2 linked regions of the Mus musculus genome follow. The protein of the gene in region 1 binds, or shares a complex with, the protein of each later gene. Links are inferred from orthologs where the notes say so. Each region holds a gene or a part of one and is shown on either strand. Other genes may lie near its edges. The genes, in order: Tnks2 and Sh3bp2.

Evidence for each region.
Region 2: the proteins of Tnks2 (region 1) and Sh3bp2 are in contact, whole or in part, in a crystal structure (PDB 3TWR), measured with the Homo sapiens proteins. The link is inferred for Mus musculus from reciprocal best matches to the Homo sapiens genes TNKS2 and SH3BP2. Residues at the interface, in NP_079511.1 of Homo sapiens: Arg525, Ser527, His531, Phe532, Gly535, Tyr536, Asn537, Arg538, Leu560, Asn565, Ser568, Tyr569, His571, Asp589, Trp591, Phe593, Glu598, Lys604; in NP_001116153.1 of Homo sapiens: Leu413, Gln414, Arg415, Ser416, Pro417, Pro418, Asp419, Gly420, Gln421, Ser422, Arg424.

The regions. Positions count from the first base shown.
Region 1 is NC_000085.6:36,827,763-36,839,645, forward strand, and holds the start of Tnks2 (poly [ADP-ribose] polymerase tankyrase-2), read left to right. Parts: upstream 1-6,469; 5' UTR 6,470-6,775; coding exon 6,776-6,974; intron 6,975-11,883. UniProt on the Homo sapiens protein: Poly-ADP-ribosyltransferase involved in various processes such as Wnt signaling pathway, telomere length and vesicle trafficking.
Region 2 is NC_000071.6:34,544,759-34,556,366, forward strand, and holds the start of Sh3bp2 (SH3 domain-binding protein 2), read left to right. Parts: upstream 1-4,817; 5' UTR 4,818-4,874; coding exon 4,875-5,038; intron 5,039-6,802; coding exon 6,803-6,942; intron 6,943-7,978; coding exon 7,979-8,081; intron 8,082-10,698; coding exon 10,699-10,816; intron 10,817-11,183; coding exon 11,184-11,254; intron 11,255-11,608. UniProt on the Homo sapiens protein: Binds differentially to the SH3 domains of certain proteins of signal transduction pathways. Binds to phosphatidylinositols; linking the hemopoietic tyrosine kinase fes to the cytoplasmic membrane in a phosphorylation dependent mechanism.

The sequences.
Region 1 (11,883 bases):
AGGACAAAAGCCAGCAGAGCAAACTCCAAATTCTGTGGCTCTACATCCAACAGCCTGGGTTTAATGATCACCTGAGTTCTACGGGGCTGGGAGGCCTCTTCCCTCCAGCTCAGCCAGCCACAGCCCCTCTCCGGTGAACTTCACTGTGCCCACAACTTTCCTCAACAGATGACCCAGGATGCTGGCATCTGTTCCATCCTGGCATCTCTGCTGCAATCTCAACTTGTCCTTTCCAGCTTTATCCAAGTGGGTCCCAGGGCCTCCTTTTAGGGGTCCCGACACTGACATGCATTGCGTGGCCACAGATGCTCTCAGGAACCTTGGAAGAAGCCCCCATTGTGCCCCCAGTCGTGTGTCATCCACGTCTGGAAAACCAGTACCACAGTTTGTTCTAGTTTGGGGCAGAGCCTAACCCCTTGGACCACTGCTGTAGGGGTCTCTGTATGCCTTGTTGCTGAATCTTCAAGGTTGCTTTCCTAGGTGATTAATTTTGCCCAGGGAACCCTTACAGCGGCATTCTCAGTTCAGGATCTGTCCTTCCCAATACATTTGAATTCTCACAGGCAGAATGACTCACTAAGCTCTGCTCACAGACTTCTAGGTCCTTTCTTACCAAGTTCCACATCCCTCCAATTTCTTCAGCAAACCAGTTCCAAACTCTCAAGAACCACATGGTCGAGTTCATCACAGCACTGGCCCTTACTGGCTGCGCGGACCTTGCGCCTCACCGTGGCCCCAGGTGGCTATGCATGCCATTCACATCAGCATGGGCCCTGGCAGGAACGCCTGAGGGCATTGCCAAGGCACCAGTCTCCAGCACAGAGTGCATACGCCCACATGGACTTCAAACTTCGTGGCAGCCTGGAGCAGCAGCATGGACCACAGGCACCAACATGGCCTCTGGGAGCATCAGGATTGCAATGGCCCTTCAAGGAGATCCAGTCCTGAAAGTGAATCTTTCCTTATCATGGCTGTCCATCACTGCCCAGAGCCAGTGGAATCCCGAGAGGCTTGGTGGCAGGGGGTTCAGGAGCTAAGTTTGAGTCTGCATAAGCTCCATGCTATACAACATCCCACCCTCAGTGCTCGTTCTCTCTCGCTCGCTCTCCCGCTCTGTGTGTCTGTCTGTCTCTGTCTTTCTCTGTCTGTCTGTCTCTTTCTTTCTCTGCCTCTGTCTCTCTGTCTCTGTCTCTCTCACCCGTCACCACCATCTCTCTCCATAGTGCACACACTGGCTATTTTCTCTTCTCCCACTTTCCATCACATGTTTGTTCATAGGGGCTGGGATGGCCTTGCACCCCTTCCTTCTTATGAGCACACACAGCAATTTGGGGTCACTCCTCTCTAGATTACATAACAAAATGACATGAAACAACTTGAAACATGGGTCATGCTTCTCACATTAAAAAAAAAAGTGTCCTATGGTCATGTAGGCTCAAAACAGAGTTCTCCATGCTAATGAGGTCCCTAGAGGCCTAGAGGGCTTAGCCAATAAGCTTCCCTTCCCAGACATTTCTCCCTGTAAAATGTATTTAATCTCAGATCCACCCTGAGAAGTGGGGAATGGTTTCATGAATCCATTTTCTGCCATGACAATAAACTGCTTTTCATAGAGATCTGATGTGGGGAACCACCAAGAAGGCCTTTGCCTATAGAGCCGCAGCCTAACCTTCTGTAAAAGGCCTCTCTGAGCTCCCAGCCACAATCATCACAGAGCCAACCACCAAGGACAATCATCCCAGCTTGGACAAGCCTGAGCTCCCCCCACCCCCACCCCTGCCTCAGCCCCTGGGCTAGACAAAGTCCCCAGCCCTTTGCCCCCTACTCCACTCTCTGCTCTTCTGAGATTCCCAGTGGCACCTGGATGTCCAACAGCCTGAGAAACACACGGCCCAGGCCTTGTCGCAGGCCCAGGGTTCCCCAAACCAACCCTGGCTTCCCCACACCAGACTGTGCTTTCCCGCCCCTTGAGCAGTACCTCCTCACCTCCCTACAGCACCAGCTCCAGCATTCTCTCTCTTTTTCTTTCTCCCTCCCTCTCCCCTTCCTCCTCTAGGGATCAAAATTAGAGCCTCACACTAGAGTATTTGTATCATAAATAGACTGATGTATTCAACTTTACTGCCCCCCATCTTCACCAAATTATATAGCACATAATTTAATAGTATTGTTACATAATCTGCTGATCTCCAGAAACTTTTCATCTTATAAAACGGAAACTCTATGCACTAGCTGGTTTTGTGTACCAACTTAACACAAGCTAGAATGAGAGAGGAAGGAGCTTTAGTTGAGGAAATGCCTCCATAAGATCCAGCTGTAAGGCATTTTCTCAACTAGTGACCAATGGGGAAGAGCCCAGCCCATTGTGGGCTGCCATCCCTGGGCTGGTGGTCCTGGGTTCTATTAAGAAAGCAGGCTGAGCAAGCCAGTAAGCATCACCCGTTATGGCCTCTACAACAGCTCCTGCCTCAGGGATTCTGCCCTGTTTGAGTTCTTGTCCTGACCTTCTTTTGTGGTGAAGAACATTGTGGACGTATAAGCTGAATAAACCCTTTCCTCCCCAACTTGCTTTTTGGGTCATGGCATTTCGTTGAAGCAATAGAAACCCTAAGTAAGTACTCTATGATCATTAAATAGTCCCATTCCATCCCTTCCCCAATGCCTAACAATTATTCTGTCAATTTGTCCACTTTATAATCTTATGGTATGAATCAGGTTCTATAATAGGACTCTCTGAACCCATCAGCAGTTAAATAATGACACATGGACTTACTAATTTTTTCTTTTTTTTTTAAAGATTTATTTATTTATTATATGTAAGTACACTGTAGTTGTCTTCAGACACTCCAAAAGAGGGCATCAGATCTTGTTACAGATGGTTGTGAGACACCATGTGGTTGCTGGGATTTGAACTCTGGACCTTCAGAAGAGCAGTCGGGTGCTCTTACCCACTGAGCCATCTCACCAGCCCAATTTTTTTTTTTTTAAAGTATAGAATAGAGTTTATTCAGGGCATGGGAGGGGAGTTGAGAAGGTAGTAGACACAGAGAAAGGGGGGATGTGAGGAGAGAGAGAGAGAGAAAGAGGAAGAAGAAGAGGAAGAGGAAGAAGAGGGAGGAGGAGGAAGAGGAAGAAGAAGAAGAAGAAGAAGAGGAAGAAGAAGAAGAAGAAGAAGAAGCAGCCAATCATGAGCACGTGGAAAGAGAGGGGAGAGGGGAATAGGGCGTGGGGTGGGGAAGGGGTGAGAGGACAGAGTGGGAGCAAGAAGGCAAGAGTAAGAGATGACTTATTAATAATTATAAAAAGCCTAGGTCTTTAGCTTGGGCTATCTCCCAGCTAGCTTATCTAGCTTAATTTTACTAAAGAAACAAGATGTGCATGTAGTGGAAAGATCGAGTGAGGTACAGTGAGGAGGTAGCCATCTATAAGCCAAGGAAAAGGGTTTTGAGGAAACCAAAACACCAACCAACATCTTGATCTAACTTTTTTTTTTCGTTTTTCTTTTTTCTTTTTTCCAATTTTCTATTAGGTATTTTCTTCATTTACATTTCAAATGCTATCCAAAAAGTCCCCCCATACACACCCCACCCCCCGCCCCCTGCTCTCCTACCCTCCCACTCTCACTTCTTGGCCCTGGGGCATATAAAGTTTGCAAGACCAAGGGGCCTCTCTTCCCAATGATGGCCAACTAGGCCATCTTCTGCTACATAGCAGCTAGAGACACGAGCTACTGGTTAGTTCATATTGTTCTTTTTTTTTTTTTTTTGGTTTTTCGAGACAGGGTTTCTCTGTGTAGCACTGGCTGTCCTAGAACTCACTTTGTGGACCAGGCTGGCCTCGAGCTCAGAAATCCACCTGCCTCTGCCTCCCGAGTGCTGGGATTAAAGGCGTGCACCCCACCACGCCCCACTTTTTTTTTTTTAAAGGAATTTAAAACATCTATTTTGTGGTGTTTTGCTAAGGCAGCTCTCTGCAGGAATACAAGTGAACCCGTTTTGTCTTTGTAAGCTGGCTTCTCTTACTTAACATTATGCCCTCAGTAATCACCTATGTTGGGGCACAAGATAAGATTCCTTCTTTCCTGAAGCCTGAATGTTCTTCCTTGATATGCATTCATCACATTTCATAGTCATCCATTCATGGAACAATTGGATTGTTTATAACTCTTTGCTTTTGTGAGGATTGTATTATGAACACGATTGCAGAACGATTTGAGATCCTGGTTTCAAACTATTTGACTATATCTACCCAGAAGTAGAGAAGATGGTAGCTTTATGTTGAAATTTTTAATTAATTAATTTTTAATTAATTTTATGTTGGGTGTTTTGTCTGCACCATGTTTGTGCCTGCTGAGGGCCACAGATACCAGGATTGGTGCTATATGATTGTGCACCACCTTGTAGCTGCTGGGAATTGAACTCAGGTCCTAAGTAAAACAGTGCCCTGAACCACTAGACCATCTCTCCAGTCCCAATGTTTAGTTTTGTAAGGAACTACCAAGTGTTTCCTGTAATAATACACATTTTATGATCACATTAAGAGTGCCAAAACGATTCTAATTTGTCCATCTCACCAACATTTGTTGTTTGCTGTTTGTTTGCTTTTAGAACAGCCATCCTAATATGGTTTCTTTGTTAACTTCATTTCTCTAGTAATCAAGTGTTTTAAAAACAAGTTAGGCTGGGCTGTGGTGTTGTACGCCTTTAATCCCAGCACTTGGGAGGCAGAGGCAGACAGATTTCTGAGTTCAAGGCCAGCCTGGTCTACAGAGTGAGTTCCAGGACAGCCAGGGCTACACAGAGAAACCCTGTCTCGAAAAAGAAAAAAAGAAAAAAACAAAAACAGTTAGGGTTGAGGAGATAGATCAGTGAGTAAGTGATGCTGTATGATGTTGTTTAGATACACATATTGGGAGGAAATACATAAGCAGAAATCACTAAATAAAAAATTATAAAAATTGGGAATATATTTGGCAAGTCGATGAAATGAAGAAAAATGAGACAATCATAGTAGTAAGGTTCTAATCCTTAGGTATATTCATGAATAGTTATTTAGTAATAGGGATCAATTTAAATTTACACTAAGTAGTCTAAGAACATAATGGAATAAACATATAAGAAGGTACATTTACTAAAATGCTCAAGAAGTGTCCCTGCTTTTCTCCCACAGAAGTGAGTCAACGCTCCCTAACAAAAACTGGATTTCCTGAAAAACAGGTTAAGTAATTCACAGGGGAAATGCTTGTCAGCGTGCCAAAAGTCAGCACTTTCTTGCAAGCAAAATCTCTGTATTCCTTTCTTTCGGGTTCCTGAAACAAGATGTCACTACTACCTTAAACACAGCTAACATTCTTTCCAGGCTCCGCCCAACAGTTACCTGGCAACAGCCAGGTAGGCCTGGCTGTTTGTCCCCCTTCTCTCTCAGACTCTTCTCCTAACCCCTTTCTCCCTCTCTCCCATCCCCCCTCCCCCGTCTCTCTCCACGTGTTCCTGGCCGGCCTCTCTTCTTTTTCTCTCTTCCTCTGTCCTTCTCTGCCTCTACTCTCTTCTCTACTCCCCTTCCCATGCCCTAAATAAACTCGATTCTACACTACACCCGTATGGCTGGTACCTCAGGGGTAAGAAAGGGATGTTTCAGCATGGGCCTGCCCAGGAATCCTTCCCACCTTACCAGACCTGGCTCTACAAAACACATCCTTGTTGTTGTTGTTTTTTTTTTTTTAATAAAACACAATAAACACGAAAATGAATTGTGCACTTGTATTCTTTGATCAGAGAGAGAGAGAGAGAAACTTCGGAAAACTTTGATGTGTATGCTTTGTATCAGCACCTCGACCACATCCGGTGCAATGCTGATTTATGTATAGATCCTCGTCAGCGCTGAGCTAATAATTTACTATGGGAAGCGGAGCTAATCACAGCCACCCCACCCCCCAATTGTTGCTTTAGAATTGAGATGAACTTTCTTCGCTTTCTTGATTTATCTGGGGGCCGCTCATCCAAACTTCTCAGTAAGCGTAACGGATTCATTTCTGAGAAAACGCTTATAAGAAAAACAAAAGCAGATGCGGAGAGTTAAGGGAAGAGACACTGTAAAGAAGGCAGGAGGGGGAAGGGGTGAGAAATCTCCCAGGGGGAAGGTACGGAAGCAACACTGCAGAGATTTTCACGCTAAAACTTGCACAAGAAAATGCATAATCAGAACAAAACTTCCCAAGATTCGTCTTCGGTGTCTGAGCAATGAAACTCGTCTCGAGAAGTGTAGGCTTTAATAAAAGAAAAGGCAGCAAGACCTCTCGTTTTTAGCAGAGGCTCTGTAAAGATGGCGGTGGGCCGAAGCCCCTTCTCTTTCCGCAGCCAAAGGCTCTCCCTGCACATTTCCCACAAACCCCTCCGCGCGGCCCCGCTTGCCCAAACTGGCCCGGCCGGAGAGCAGCCACTGCGCACGCGCGAGCCGACGTCACGCGCGCTCCCAGGACCCGACCGAGCTGGCAGGAGTGGTCTCGGCCGCTTCCGCCGTCGCGTCGCTTCGGGGCTCGGCGAGCGGGTTCGCGCTGCCTCCACCGCGGTGGGGCAGCCGGGGCTCACGGAGCCGAGCCGGGGGCGCGCGGCGACGCGGCCATGGGACCGTGCCGACTCTGGTGACAGCGGGGAGCGGAGCGGCCCGGGCCCTGAGCGCGTCTCCTGCGGGGGGCCTCGCCCTCCTGCTCGCGGGGCCCGGGCTCCTGCTGCCTTTGCTGGCGCTGCTGCTGGCGGCGGCGGCGGCGGCCCGGATCATGTCTGGCCGCCGCTGCGCCGGCGGGGGCGCGGCCTGCGCGAGCGCCGGGGCCGAGGCCGTGGAGCCGTCCGCCCGCGAGCTGTTCGAGGCTTGCCGCAACGGGGACGTGGAGCGAGTCAAGAGGCTGGTGACGCCCGAGAAGGTGAACAGCCGCGACACGGCGGGCAGGAAGTCCACCCCGCTCCACTTCGCCGCAGGTAAACGCGGGCCCCGCGGCGCCTCCCGCACGCCCCACCTGCAGGCTCGGGCTTGCAGGCCGCAAGCCGCGCGGCGCTGCCCTGTCTCCGACCTTTCCCCAGGACTCTCACCCTGGCCGCCCGCCCTCCTCTCTCGGGGCTCGTGATGAGGGTGGGGTGAGCGTGCTCTCGGGAAGTTGTTTTTGAGGTTATGGGGTTTTTTGTTTGTTTGTTTGTTTGTTTGTGTGCTGGGAGGGGGGAAGCTTTGTTTTGTTTTACTGTATCAACAATACCTGCCCCGACTTCCGGTCTTATTACCCCGGAGGGCCTCTGCACACAAGAAAGGCTTAGTAGACCTTGTGATTTGAAAGAGTAATTATCTCCAAAAAATGGACCCATGTTTGCAAGTTTCATCGACACTCTTAGTAACCCCTTAAGTTCTAGCGGCCGTCATAAACTGAAATTTTAATTTAGGAGTTATTTTATTAGCTATTGGCTCATTAGAGTTAATTGGATTAGGTTTCTGGAGAGACTAAAACCGGAAATGGGCATGTTTGGGAGACCTGAGATCTACTTAGGTTGTGTGTGGGTGGCCTCTGCCTTACTCCCGCACAAGTCGGGATGGAAAGTGAGCTGAGAGACAAGATAGGACACGCACTTGAGCTTGGATCTAGGATTTTGAGTCATCCTGAGATTTATTGTAGATAGTTTGGAGTTACTTTTAACTACTGGGTTCTCTTTGTGGTACCAGCGTGTTGAAGTTTGCTTGTTGAGGTATTTATTTGAAAAGGCCAGGGATGGGAACCAACTTAATGATTATTCATGTTAAGGACAGTTTGTAACTTTTTAACCTCATAATCAAATAAGATCCTCTTAGCCTGGTAACATTTGATACAGTGTGCATCAGAATTGTTTAGCAGTTCTTTATATTTAAAAAAAAATTTTAGTTTCTTGTGTTCCTTAGGGGCAAAAATGGTAGACAAAAGAGTATAAAAAAAGATTTATTGTTTGTTTGTTTACAGGCATTGATTTTACAGTTCTTCCAATTGTAGGTCTGTTTGCTTTGACCTGTCCCTATTTTAAAATGTATGTACTGTCAGAAATCATGCCTCCTTAATTGATTGCCGGTTTGGGAGCAAGGGAAAAGTTTGGGAAAACCACAATTGGGCAGAAGAGAAATTTGCCTGTGGGCACTGAGAAGTGAGAGCATGAAGCCAAATCTCTGTTAGCAGTGTTGCCTTGCTTCAGCTAGTTTGAATTGTCTTGCTTGACCATTTAGCCAACCTATTTGGCAAATGGTCACAACCAAGTGCTAGATAATCCAAAGGGGTAATGTTACTTAGATTATGTACGCTTGATAAAAATAGCCAAGGTCGATCTTAGTTGCCACCTTTCAAGAATTTAATGTATTAGTGAGTTCATGTCTGAAAATAGTAGTATTTTGAGGTGCGGGTTGGGGACTTATGGTGTGACCTTGTTGCTCCCACACCATCCCACCCTCAGCTCTGCTCCAGTATGCCCCTCCCCCACCCACACGGATGGAATATAAGACCTTGCACATGCCAGACAAGTGTTCTGGCCTCTGAATGAGGTAGATTAGACCCTACCCCTGCCTCAACATATTAAGGAATATTTTACATGTATTTTATATTGTTTCTCCAGATTGAAATGGGAATTTAAATATTATAGAGAGCAATTCACCACTCAAAATTCACCTATATTGCCAGTTGTAGGTTGTAAAATTAAGAAGTTAAAATGTAAAAAGGAAAACATAAAATAATTACTAAAGATACTAGGGAGATGGCTCAGTGGATAAAGTACTTGCTTGCCTTGCAAACAGGAGGGCCTGAGTTGAGATCCCTAGCACCCACGTAAAAAGGCAGTTCTGTTGATGCACACTTATAGCCCCACACTAGGAGGTGGAGACAGAAGGATCCGTGGGACTTACTTGAAAAGCCATGAGCCCCAGGGTCAGTGCAGTGACCCTGTCTCAAAAATTAGATGGAGGAGAGCCATCGATGAAGATGCCTGCCCTGCCACCCACTCACACGCGCAGATACACCTAGCCTACCATATACACAGAAAAATAATCACTAAAGAATTGATATTAAGTCACAGTTTTAAGAGTCTTACATTTAAACCCTGCATAAAAAAATAAGGAGCTTTAAAAAAAATGGCTTTGTGAATTTTAAAATCCAAATTATTAGATTAATGTGGCACTAATCACTAATGAATTTATTCCTTTTCTGGATATGGAACTAGAACCTTGCTTGGCCCTACTAGACATATGTGCACCTGCTGAGCTATAGTCTCAATCAGCCCTGGTTTTTTTGTTTTTTGCTTTTTTTTAAAGATTTATTTATTTTCATTTATATGAGTACCCTGTAGCTATCTTCAGACACACACCAGAAAAGTGCATTGGATCCCATTACAGATGGTTGTGAGCCACCCTGTGGTTGCTGGGATTTGAACTCAGGGACCTTCGGAAGAGCAGTCAGTGCACTTAACCCCTGAGCCATATTGCCAGCCCTGTTTATTTTTAAGTAAAGTTGCTCACTAGCATTTTCTTTGTGAGTTACCATTTGTGTTTATGCAAGCATACTTTTGGATCCTCCTCTGCAGGTGGTGGTACTTGATAATTGCCTGACCAAGCAGTTACTTGTGTTTTTATTTTATAGAGAATTCATTCTTTTAGAGAAAAAAAAAAAAAAAAAAAAAGAGCCCAGCAGTGGTGGCGCAGGCCTTTAATCCCAGCACTTGGGAGGCAGAGACAGGCGGATTTCTGAGTTCGAGGCCAGCCTGGTCTACAAAGTGAGTTCCAGGACAGCCAGGGCTACACAGAGAAACCCTATCTCGGGGAAAAAAAAAGAGTTAGTGCTGAGAAAAAAAATTATTAAAATAGCCAGTTAAAGTTTAGAGGTTTAATTAAGGAGTCTAGAGGTTTGTCAGTAGGAATAAGATATATTCATGCTACAGAGAAGGAAAAAGGGTTTTGTATTTCCATCCTGGCCAAAGAAAAAATTAAAAATCAACCTTAATTTAGTTAATCAGTTGTCACTCCTTAGAGGAATTAAGTTCCATTAGTGATAAAGATAATTACAGAAATGGGTATTTTTCTTCCGTTAGCTGCCTTTTATTATTGGGCTAGGTTACATACTTCTGATATGATCTTTAAGAAATCTTTATAAGGAAACAGTTACACAGAAAAGATTTCCTCTTCCATCTCTTCTTTTCCCTGCCTCCAACTACACAGATGCAGGATATGAATTGATTCTTTTCTTTTTCACCAAGTTCTTCTTTGGGGGAGACTTTGGCCTTTCTATAACCACCTTTATGAATGCTTGTTACCTGTGATGAGATGGGAATCATTCTTCTAAAAGTACATATGTTAAATGATTTTACAATGAAGAAGAATACTAAACTAATTTTTCCTTATTCTGATTCTTTTACTCTGCAATTTAAGAAGCCTTTTCTAAAAGCATTTCTTCCAGGTGGGTTCTAAAAGATGCAGAGGGCCAATAGTAGAACAAAGGACACATGAATGCCAAGAGGTGATGGATGGCAAGAGAAGACCTCATAGCAGTAATTTACTGTCTCCTTGAAGATTTCCTTCATGGCTTCTTGGTACCATTCTAGCTTTCTAATACAGGGGTATAGTAAGCAAACATCAACAACTATTAAATGTCTCATCCTCTGAAGGACTCCAGGAAACTAAGACATTCACAGTCCTTGTCCCTTATGGAATTAGCATCCAGGAGCTGGGTTTGGTAATCAGCTCTAGGAGACTAGGTAGGATAAGCTTGAATTTAAAGCTAGCCAGGCGCTGAGACACTGTACAGAGAGAAAGATGAGTGATACAGACTAGGAGATTACTAACCCGTGTATTAGATTACACATTTTGGTAAACGCCGAAACACTGGTATGAAGAGCAAAGGCTCAGTCCCTGCTCTTATGGTGCTTTCATCTTAGCAAAGGAAGAGAGACAGCCAACCAGTGTTAGATGATAACAGGCGGCAGAAATGGAGGCTGCTTACAGGTGGCCTTTTGGGGGGGGGTTGTTTTTTTTTTCCCCCAAGACAGGGTTTCTCTGTGTAGCCCTGGCTGTCCTGGAACTCACTCTGTAGACCAGGCTGGCCTCGAACTCAGAAATCGCCTGTCTCTGCCTCCCGAGTGCTGGGATTAAAGGTGTACGCCGTCCAGCAGGGTGGTGACTTTTAAATAGACAATTACTGAGCTATGTTATTTTTTTGGTTTGTTAGTTTGCTTTGTTTTTGTGGGTGGCGGTATTTGTGGTATGGTTTTTGTTGCTGTTGTTGTTGTTTGCATAGTCTCACTAAGAACCAGCTCCCTTTATATTTGTAATCCTTAAGCCTCCAAAGGACAGAGATTAATTACAGGTGACACAGCACTGAGATCCAGGACTCTGAATTCTGTGAAGTGAAAGGGTCATGAATAAATATCTTTGTTCATCACTGTTTCTCCAGTATTCTAGTTTCTGTTGCTGTGATAATAAAACACCACAACCAGAAGCAACTTGGGAGGAAAGGATTTATTTGGCTTCCACTTCTGTATCACAGTCACTCAAGAAGGGAAGGGAAGGGAAGGCAAGAACTAGAGCAGAAGCTGTAGGGTGTGCTGCTTACTCGCTTGCTCTATATGGCTCCTTACGATAGCTTTCTTACACTACCCAGAACCACCTATCCAAATGGACTGGGCCCTTCATCATCAATCAAGAAAATACCCTACAGCTGGGCAGTGGTTGCTCATGCCTTTAATCCTAGCACTTGGAAGACCGAGGCAGGCAGATCTCTGAATTCAAGGCCAGCCTGGTCTATAGATCAAATTCCAAGACATCCAGAGCTACACAGAGAAACCCTGTCTGGAAAATTCAAAAAAGAAAGGGAGGAAAAAAATTAAAATAAGAAAATAC
Region 2 (11,608 bases), on another chromosome or scaffold:
TTGTGTAAGTATGTGTGAGTGTGAACACATGCGTTTATGCTTTTTAAAAAATGTCATTTTAATTATGTGTGTATATATATGTATATATACATATATGTATTATGTATGTGTGTGTATGTATGTGATAACATATGCACATGAGTAAAGCTGCCCACAGGTCTAGAAGAAAACCATATCAGATCCCCTGGATCTTGAGTTGCAGGCAATTGTGTGCTACTGATGTGAACCAAAGGGACCCTCTGCAAGAGCAGCACCCACTTTTAACTGCAAAACCATCTCTACAGCTTCAAAAGCATGTGTCTGAACACATGAATAAGTATGTGTGCATGTGTGATTATTGTGTCTGGATGTGTGGTTCAGTTCCTATGAGAACAAAAATGTCTTAGTTATTTTCCAGTTGTGGGGACAAAAACCATGATCAAGGTAACTCATGAAAGAAAGTGCTTAAACCCGGAGCTCACCGGTCCAGAAGGTTAGAATCTGCAACCGTCACACAGGAAGCATGGTAGCAGGTAAACAGGCATTGCACTGGAGCAATCCTCGAGAGCTCACATCTGATTGACAAGCACAAGGCAGAAAGGACTAATTGGGAATGGCGTGGGGGTTTTGAAACTTCAAAGCCCACACCCAGTGACACACCTCCTAGAACAAAGCCACACCTCTTAATCCTTCTCAAACAGTTCTACCACTTGGGGGCCATTCTCATTCAAACCCTCACAATGAGTATATGTGCATGTATATGTGTAAGATGAGGGTTAAGTTGAGATTATGTGTATATGTGTGTACATGAGAACATATGTATGCACAAGTGCCCCAGTGGTACCTGCTTTCCTTTTCCTTGGGCTAGAACCCCCACCCCCGCCTTACCCTGCAGCTTCACAAAGAGCAGTCCGGCTTGATCACAGGAATAAGTGTGCTTCACATAGGCAGGGACATATCCACAGGTGTCGGGGGCTCATGGATAGGCTCATATATGCATGTATATATGCACATGTATCAATGTGCATACATGTATGTTGTGTGAATGTAACACCTGTGATGTTAACCAGGTGTGCAGAGCCACCAAGAATGTATGGACCCTTGCAGGTGATGACCACTCACCTCTGCAGACTCACAGGGTCCCAGGGCAGGCACAAGCCACAGAACTTGTTCTGGCTGACTTTGTGGCACAGAGTGGTTTTTATTGAGTGGCCCAGTCCATATCCTCTAGCAGCCTCTGGAAACAGTGTTACCTGAATCAAGACCAGTTATGAGAGAAGGGGAGGGAGGAAGATGTATAGAGAAGCAGAGAGACTTGACTTGGAGGATGTGTGGCAGGTGTCCAGCCTTCCTGGTGTGCATGCAAGCACAGACATAAACTTACAGGCTCAAATGCATGTCCACATACACACATGCAAACAATTATCTCACACCTTCTACGTGGTCTCATGGGCTTTAGCCACAACCACTGACTTGCAAAGGTCTGGTGTGGGGCCGGGGAGAGGCCTGCAGCTACAAGCAAAAGGATCCACAAAACAGAATGAGCCTAGCAAATGAGTCCTGACCCTGCTACCCCAGCCTCCTACAGAGGGAGGGGATTTGTTGCTAGGTTATCAGGGGACTGGGCTCTTCCATGCCTCCTCTGCTGATAGGGACTTCCTAATTGGAAGATGAGGGCCAAGTGGGGTTTGAACTTATGTCTCCATACTATCCCTCAAAACTCTCATCCACGGTGGCTCAGCCCACCAAGGTTGCTGTTCCTACAGAGAAGGGAACTGGGCATCCCTGCTCCATGAACTGTCAGTTCCCTGACAGTTGAGTTGAATTGTGCTATTAGGTCCCTGGGTCCGGGGTGGTGCTGTGGGTACTGAGGTGGCTAGTCTGGTTAGTGGGCGGCTAAGAGTCTTCATTCTGTTCACAGGCGAGCCAGGAGTTCTTTAGTTTCTCTCCAGCTTTCCCAGGCACAGGTGGCGCTGGACTCTGTAGGCTGAGCTAAAACTCTCCAGGAAAAGCATGGTAGTAACCGCCTCCCACCCCCCAGGTGGCACATCCTCTTTCTGCTCCTAGCTTAGATTGGTATTGGGTTCCTGAGCAGGGTCACCTGGTGTCAGGCAGGGCTTATCTGGAGAGGGGTTGTGATTCCGGTTCTGAAGTGCGAACGTTCCTAGGAGAGATGAAGTAGAGTATCACTTGGCTCTCATGACATCCTCTCCAGCAAGGTGTTCAATGGCCGCCCACAAGCTTTCATTCTGCCCACAGGAAGGTGGTAGCTAGGCTGTCTCCTGCTGGCCACTGAGTTGAAACAAGATGGGGCTGAAACCGCTTAACTCTTGCACCCAACCCCACCCAAACATGCAGCCAGGGGGAGGTAGGCACATCTTTCCTTGCAGCAGCTCCAGACATCAGAGCAGGGCTCTGTTTCAGCTCCCTTCCACAATCCTCAGACCAACTACCCACCAGAAGCAACTGTCTAGTTTACTCTGGGCACTCTGGCTTCCCACTCTGGGCAGGGCCTGCAGGCTAAGTAAGTTTGGGGGATAGTGATAACCTACTATGGCCAGTGTCAGGTGGAAGGAAGGCTGGGTCACTAGCCCCAGGCTGGGGACATAGGACCAGCTACTATTCATGGGTACTCAGAAGAGGGAATGCTGAACCTCATTTGTTCCCAGACTTGTTGCTAGCACATCCTTCTACCTTGCAAAACCCACTTATTAGTCCTGATAATTTATAACTTCCTTGGAATTTTTGCTACATAAAGCCATGTAATCATTGCTTAGGTTTTGTTTTTGTTTGTTTGTTTTTCTTATCTGGACACTTGATTTACTTGTGTCTGCACAGCAAATGTATGTAGTGCTTGTAGAGGCCAGAAGAGGGCATCAAGTCCCCTGGAGCTGGAGCTGCAGACAGATGTGAGATTCCTTGTGGGTGCTGGATCCTCTGTAAAAGCAGTCAGGCTCCTAACCACTGACTGCCTGTCCAGCCTGACATTCAATTTCTTTTTATTATATACTTTCCTTGGCCACACTTTCCATACAATGTTGAAAAGAAGCAATGGGATCCTTGCCTTGTTCCTGCCTTTCAGGAAACTGAAAATGTTCGGCCTTTTACTTCCGGCTGTAATAGCTGTAGGCTTTTCTTAGATGGCCTTTGTTAGGTTTAGAGAGTTCCCTTCTGCTGTTTTTCTTCCTTCCTTCCTTCCTTCCTTCCTTCCTTTCTCTCTTTCTTCCCTTCTTTTTTCTTTTTAGATTTATTTATTATTGTATTTTTTTATGTGCTGTTAGATTCAGTTTGCTAGCATCTTGTGGAGAATGTTTATGCTGTGCCCAGAAGGGGATTTGGGGCTGGGGATATGGCTCAGTTGGTAGACTCCTGTCTAGTTTCAGTCCTCAACACTGCTTAAGCCAGATGTGGTCATCCTCAAACTTAGGATATGGAAGCAGGGAAATCAGAAGTTCAAGGCCAGCCCGAGCTATTCTGTCATAAAAAAGATACACAAACAGAAATCCTCAGAGACTTATTGGTCTGTAGCTTTCGTGTCTGTGACAGCTTCATCTGGGTTTGGGTATTGAGGTGATGCTGGCCTCATTGGATTTGCTCTGCGAGTTTGTATATGACTAGTGCTCTTGGAATCTAATATTTAATGGCTAAATTACTTTACTTGCAGCAGCAGGCAGTGGAAACAACCTGGACTAAGGTGAATTCTTGTGGGCTTGGGTGAGCAGAGTCTGTGCACAGCAGAGCAAAGCACATCTAAAAGGTCGAAAGTAGAGGTAGGGCTGGATTAGGAAGTGCTAGAGTGTTGCCAGGTGTGATAGTGTACAGCAGCAATACCAGTACTTGGGAGGCTGAGGCAGGAGGATGCCAAGGTAGAGCCAAGCCAGGGCTACAGAGTGAGACCCTCTTTAATGCCCCCCCCCCGGCAGGATTGTGTCCATGGCATTTAGAATAATGATGTGATGGGAATGGTGTGTTGGCTGGAAGGTGAGGAAGGGAAATTGGGGGAGGCAGGGAGAGGTGTGGCCTGCTCAGAAGCAGTAGAGACGGGGATCTGTAATGCAGGGTGGCTGGAAGAAGGAGGCAGCTTAGTGTTCTGGGTAAGATGTTCCTCCAGAAACCAATGCCCCAGGCAGCCGGACTCTTGGAGTGAGAAAGCTGTAGGAACGTCAAGGCTGCATATAGTAGGAAGGGGCCTGGAGAGCTTGCCTAATATAGAGACTTGGACACCAGGGAGAAGAGTCTAGAATAGACAGTTGGTGGGAGTGAAGCCTGAGGAATATACCAGAGTTGCCTCTGAAGGGCAAGTGTGCTGCCTTCTGCCACAGATAGTCCATCTTGGGGCAGCCTGTGTGATGATGGGAGATGGAGAAGGAAGGATGCCTAGGAAGTCAACAGGGCTTTACCAGCCTTAGGCATCCAGGAACACTCTTCTGGGACAGGTATTCAAAGAAGCCCAAGTAGGTAAGAGCTGCCAAGGGCTGGCTCACTCCTTGGAGGAATTCCGTCCCGAGGGAGACCCATGGAGTGGACATTGGCAAGGTGACATGATGGGGTACTAGCGTAGGAAGTAGGGTGCCATAGACGCTCATATCCAAGGTGCAAACTGGGTGGAGATCAGCAGGCGGGGACTTCGGGATCCTCAGATGTTGGGAATATGAGCGTGACTTCCTCATTCGCATTGGTGGCTTCCTTGTTTGTCTGGATGGCTCTTAATTCTGGATTATACAGACACAAGTTTCCAAGTTTCCACTTATTGCAGCCCACCACCCTCAGTGCAGTGGGTGGAGAAACTGACGTAAGGAGGGGCGGGTCCGCTTTCTTACCTGGCCCCTAGCCCTTACACTACCGCCCGCGAGGGGAGGAGCCAGGGGCAGCTCCGGCCTGGGGCTCTACGAGCTATGGCGGGCTCAGGGTCGCGGCCGCGGAGCTGGGGCTGGCGAGAGACAGGCTCCAGGGACGAGGCTGCGGCCGGTGGGCCCACCTCGGGACCCTGTCGCTGCTCACAGGGAAGGCGGGCGCTGGCCGCCCCCCGGAAGCCGGCTGTGCCCGCCGCGTGGACACCGTGAGTACTGATCCTGCCTGGGGCTCGGGATCTGGGGCCCCAGCCCTGGTTCTGAGCATCCACACTCAGTTCAGACTTCCACTCCTCAGACCTGGGCCCCCACCCTCTGCACCACGACCCGGGACCGAAAGTCCCTGGAGCCCCAGGCGCTATCCGGCGTCTACTCAGAACAAAGGAGAGCATGGGCCAGCCAGAGTTGGCTGGCCAGGGGGCTTCGAGAGCCTGGCGCGCTGTCTGTCCATCTGCTTGCACGGCATGGGCATGGGAGTGGGCACCCTCCTCGCACTCCACTGCTGTGCTCGGACCCGCGTTCCCCTTGGCCCTGCGCGGGGGTGTGGTCGCGCCATTGTTCCAAACCTCCGCCTGTGGTTCTGTGGTTCGAGGACCAATGGTCCTGACCAATGGCCTGGACCATGGACCAAGTGCATTTGAGTGTTAATGCGCTCTCTCTCTCTCTCTCTCTCTCTCTCTCTCTCTCTCTCTCTCTCTCTCAGTGTGTGTGTGTGTGTGTGTGTGTGTGTGTGTGTGTGTGTGTGTGATGTGTGTGTGTATGGGGTAGCCAACGGAACTTGATTCTCTAACACATATTTGGCGGTGTGAGGTGAGCCTGGCCGTTGACAAGAGCTTAATTGATTTCCATCCTTTTTCCTTTCATTTTCGGATGCAGTAGGTTTCCCTGCTTCAGCCTTCTGAATGCTGAGCTTTCAGACGTAGGCCACCCCGGGGCTGGAGGGTTTTCTCTGTGTGTTTTTGGGGGAGTTGGCACTATAGTAATAGAAATCTCAGCAGCCTGCCCTTCTGGATATGGCTGGAGCCATCCCACCTTGTTGAGAGCAGATCCCTGACCTTCCCCTCATGCAGTGCCTCAGGGTCCAAAGAGGGACCTGATGGGGTGAGTGGGTGTACCAACAGAATAATGCCAAGTTAGGGGGCAATTGTGACTGGCACTTGGGGTTCCTTACAGGAAGGACCCTCTGAGTCTTGATACTCTGGGCTGATAATGTGGATACTAGAAAACCTGCCAAATGGTCCTCATGGCACTGATGACAAGGTGTATGTGTGTGTGTTCAGAGTCCACCCTGTGCTCCCAATTTATAGCTCTAACAACTGAGGCTGGAGTTCCCCCAGAAAGCCAAACTATTGGAGCCCAAATTATTAAATCTGGGAAGTGGGGGGCTCTTGGCTTGCTCTTCTATTACCTGACTTCAGGGCTTCAAAGTGGGGATAGACAGAAGTTACTGAGGAAGGGTGGACATCTCAGGACCTGACTTTCTCTCCATAGAAGATCAGATCTGATGGAAAAGGTTCTCATTGCCTGCCTCAGTGCTCTTGAACAGCCATTTTCAAGGGGGTGACCCCAGTGCCCCCTGCTCTAGGACAAGCACTTTGTGAGCTGCCCAGGCATTGGAACCTTGGGTAGCTATGGCATAAGGCCTGATATGCCCAGGCTAGGGCTTCCTGAGTTCAGTCATTACTGCCCCAGCCTTCCTGGGGCCATGAACTCGCTGAATTCACGGTGGTAAAAGGACTGTGCTCAGAATTCTGGAGTCAGGTGTGTCGCCAAGAGGATTGGGGACTGACTATGTGGCATGGTCACCCCCAGAGCCCCACTCAGAAGCCTGGGGACTTATGAAGAGTCCTCCTCCACTGACCTGACCCTCCACGTTGCCTTCTAGATCTTAGCCATGCCCTCTCAGGACCCCCTGCCAAACTGTTCCCCGCTGTCCTCCCGGCTGAGTCCTGTCTCTTTTGCTTCAATTGCAGCTTCATGGCGGCTGAGGAGATGCAGTGGCCTGTCCCCATGAAGGCCATTGGTGCCCAGAATTTGCTGACCATGCCTGGTGGTGTGGCGAAGGCTGGTTACCTGCATAAGAAGGGTGGCACCCAACTGCAGCTGCTCAAATGTGAGTCACTGGATCATGGGAGTTTCAAAGGGAGGACACGGCTCTGCTTCTCCAGGGCTCTAGTGGGTCTCCTGAGATTTCTTTTCCTTTTCTAGCAGCTGGCACACCTAGGAAACCTGATGAGTTCCTTACCCTGGACCTTGTCACAGGATCCAACATAGTATAGCAGGCAAACTGAGGAGTCATGAGTGCTTCAGTCTGCAGCCAAGGCTGGAGGTCCTCAGGGTGGCCTGATAGATCTGGTCCCTCAGTGCTGTTTTTGCCTTGCATGTGACTTGTGGGTGAGGTGGTGAGTCATGTGGCACAGAATGGTCCCATGTGGCAGGCCAGGAGCCAGCTGAGTGTCAGGATGCCGAAGGCATAGAGCGCTAGAGCCTTGCCCGGCTCTGATCAGCCATGGACACTCCATCCTTTTGCCCCTGGGATGCCCTCTGCCAGGGATGCCCTGCCCCCGTGTTGCCTGCCTGGGATGCTCTAGCTGGACTGTTGGACCCTGTGTGCATAGCAATGTATAGATGTATGTGCTCCAAGGAAGAACCATAAATAACCTTTCCCCAGGGTTAGGAGGGGCTGTTCTGGGCAGGAGCCCTAGAGCCTGAGAACAGCTCCACCTCGATGGCTCTCACCAGCCGGCTCTGGGTGCCTAAGCTCTGCTCTCCTTGTCCTGTCAGGTCCTCACCTCCTCAATAGCCCTATTGCTCCAAGCAAGGCTGCCATGGCCTCCTTAGGCCTCTGGTCCAGGCTCCACCCTTTCTTACTGTCCCTTGAGGCCTTAATCTACCCCTTTTGGGCCAGATTTTGTGGCCAGGCCTTTCCTGGGATGGTGCCCCAAAACTTGCCCATGTGCCAGTGAACTTGTTTATATTTGACCCCAAAGAAAGTCCAAGGAAGGGGCAGCATACCAGCTCAGCTCCCTGCTCTACCTTCTGCAGTCTCAGAGGTTTGCTTCCAAGTTGCCCAGGACCTCTGGAGACCTCCTCAGAGTAGAGTTAACTGGTGGCTCTGTGGCTCACCTCTGCCACTGAATTGTCCCCAGGGCCCCTCCGCTTTGTGATCATCCACAAGCGCTGCATCTACTACTTCAAGAGCAGCACATCTGCCTCCCCACAGGGTGCCTTCTCACTGAGTGGCTACAACAGGTGAGTGTCCATCCTGTCTGCTCACCAACCTCCCATGCCCTCCCTCTCACCCTGCACCACAGAACCAATCCCTGACTGTCTGAGATGGCCTTCATCTGTTTGCTGGCTGTTATCCTACCTACCCTGGCCTTTGCTGAGGGCAGGGGGTGGGACAGTATGTGTGGGGTGAGGTCTTTACTAGCAGCTTCTTGGGGGTTCAGGTACCAAGGGCCTGAGTGGCTTACTTTGCTGAGTTCCCATTCAATGACCACTCTGTAAATGTTGTGTTCAGCCTCTGATCCTGCTCCTCACTCACCACACCCCTTCCCAGGGAGCCCAGACTCCATCCATCCCAGGCCATCCTAAACTCAGGCTCTTCATGGAATTTCTGGCTCTAGGGTTTTCCCAGGCTCCAGTTCAGTTCCCTGTTACATTATGGGCTGGGATCCAGATAGCCAGAATCCATGAACTTCCTTCCCCTCAAGGGCTTCTAGACAGGGCAGGTATAACCTGAGCTAATGCCTACTTCCGGGAGCCTCCCGTCCCGGGGGCAGAGTAGTGGTAGAGTCACAGAGAAGGACTCTGGTGATAGCTTTAAAGTCTGAGGGCCTGGGGCTTTCTAGCTCTCTAATTATACTGAAATGCTGATGATAATGTCTAAAGAGTCCTAAAAACTTTCTTGTGCTTTCTGAGCTTAAAAGACTGCTGGCTTAGGTGATTAACACCTGTAGCCTAACAGAGGAGGGTTAAGCAATGCAGTCTTTGTTCTATCTCAGCAGGAACTGCTGGGCTCCAACTTCCAGTTGGAAGTCTGATAGTCGGAAGTCATAGGAAGGGAAGACACTTAGAGAAGTGATTATAGAATTTATTACTAAGTTGTAAAAAGTTTCCTATGAAAGCTATCTAAGGGGAAAAGTGAAAAGATCCTAAGTGGGGAAAGGGAAGAATTCTCTAAGTGGGGAAAGGGAAAATATTTCTACTCTAAGTGAGGAAAGGTGAAAAATTCTACTCTATAGATTTCGCTCATCTCCTTGTCCTCAGTACTTATACATCTTTCAGAATACATGATCATATGTTACAAGGTTCATCGAAAGTTCACACAAAAAAATCAAATCATAAATTGAAACAGAAGCTTACAACAGGGAATGTTTACATGCATATCCATTAGGAGTAATTATCTGGCTAAGCATCCATCACCTGTCAGCTCCACAGTCACTGAAGGTTTAAAACCATAACTAAGTTATCAGTGAAGTTTTACATAGATAAACCCAGTCAATATTTTATTTTCTGTCCTAGCACCTATAATAAATCGTTAGTTCCCTTTTTATGTATGACCTTTGGTTAATTGTTTTACAACCTTTTGGAATGTGTTCTGAGTAGGAGAAAGTCTGGTTACCATCTAAGAGCAATTAACTGGTGACACTTGGGAGACTGACAGAGTTCTCATTGCAGCTTTGACTATCAGAAAAGGACCTAATCGCAGTCCCATTAATAAAAGAGCTTAATAATCACAGATATAGTTTTAGAAATTCTTATAGGATCATCATTAAGACTTAAGTAATCTATTTGTCTATATAGCATCACTACAAGATAGCACATCTTCGTAGATTTGCAGAGATCTGCTCCAAAGGGGTGTGCTCCTATTAGTGATTGTTATATATGTTTAATAATAACAGGAAAAGCATGTTAATAGCAGGACTCTTTCTTAAAGTGAGTCCCTCACAGCCTTGCTTAATGAGGGCTCACCTGTCACAGATTATATAATAATCCAAAGCAGGCCACTTCAGGATGATCTCCTGCTAGTTATTAGCTTGTCCCATTGTGGCTTCTGACAGCCTACGTGTTGGCTTATTGGTCATCTTGAGTTCTTATGGCTTCAGGGGCTGTAGGGTACCCAGGCTCTTTGCCTTATAGCATTGTAGTCCTGCACTCTGTTCTCTTGGGAAGTCCTCAGACACCCAGCACCTTCCTGAGCTCATACTCTGCTAACTCCCTGAAGCATCTAGGTATTCTCTGAGATCGTAAGCATCCAGAGACTGTTCAGATCTGCCCATATTCCGCAGGTCATGATGCTGAGTGCTAGAATCAGTTCAGGGGTGGGCTTTGTAGTAAGAATTCTGGAATTTTGGATTCTTTAAAAAAAAAAAAAAAAAGCACAGATATATTATAAGACTGTGTTTTTGTCTTACTCCCAGGTGTGGGGCTATGTGGCTGCTTTGCAGCAGCTGACTATGATTTGCCTCGTGCTCTAACAGGGGCATGGTTTTACCCAGCTTCAGATAGTTTCTGCAATTGTGTGACTTTGGAATTCTGGGAATTTTTCAGAGGATATATCAATGCTAAGTCCCTGAGAGGTGGGGTTCATGGTTGTTAGTTGTTCAGGGGGGGTTAGTTGCAGTTTGTTAGTAGTCGTGCTCAAAGAAGAAACAAGGAAAAAGAAATTAGATTCAGACCTATTCCCCACCCCTTTCCTCTACAATCCTTTCTCTCCTATCTGGTGATAGTGGGTGAAACCGGGAGTGGGGGGATAAAGGGTGGGAGAAGAAGAACCCACTAATTAGCAAAAGCCCAGCCACGGGGGTTGATAAGCCCATTTCTTGAGTGGACAAGCTGGTGACTTCTGGCAATGTGCCCTCAGAGTGATGCGAGCAGCTGAGGAGACCACGTCCAACAATGTCTTCCCATTCAAGATCATTCACATCAGCAAGAAGCACCGAACATGGTTCTTCTCAGCGTCCTCTGAGGATGAGCGCAAGGTGATGGGCAGGTAGCAGGGCCCCAGGAGCCAGGCAGCACTTGCCTGAAGTGCCACACTGATTACGAGGCTCTGACCTCCCATGAGCTCTAGACAGGCGGCTAGGATCCTGAAGAGAAAGACTTGGTGGAGGTCTATGGGCAGCCAGGTGCCTGTGCACATGAGAATACGCCAACAGGATATGGCCTGAAATGGGCTGGGGGGTGGGGGCAGCCGCAGCCCCATGAGGGTGGTTTCATGTCCGAAACACACGATCTATGCTGGACCTTGCTGGCTACTGTATAGAGCTAGACAGTGATGGGAAGAGGGTGGAGTGGAACTCCATTCTGGGCAACAACATACTAACTACGGTTGTTCCTGACCCACAGAGCTGGATGGCCTTGCTACGCAGGGAAATTGGCCACTTCCATGAGAAGAAGGAACTACCTCTAGACACCAGGTCTGTGGAGGGATGTGGAGGGATGTGGTGGGTGGGTGGTTGTCCCGAGGGCTTCTTGGCAATTAGGGCTCCCTTCTAGTCCCTGGGGACTAGACTTATAATCACTTCCATAAAGGTTTTTCTGGAGGTACCAGGCAAGCTTCACGTGTGTGGATGCACACGCCGCTTATGTAGTCATGTACAAGTGTGCATGCAGCATCTCTCTCTGTCCTTGTCTGTCTTCCAGCTCTGACTCTGTCTTAGCCTGCGGTACTTATCTGTAACTCCTGTGTGGGGCTCGTATGTGCCTATTCCATTCCCCTACTATGCAGACCCAGCATTTACAGCTCAGTGTTGGATTCCTGGCTCTCTGGT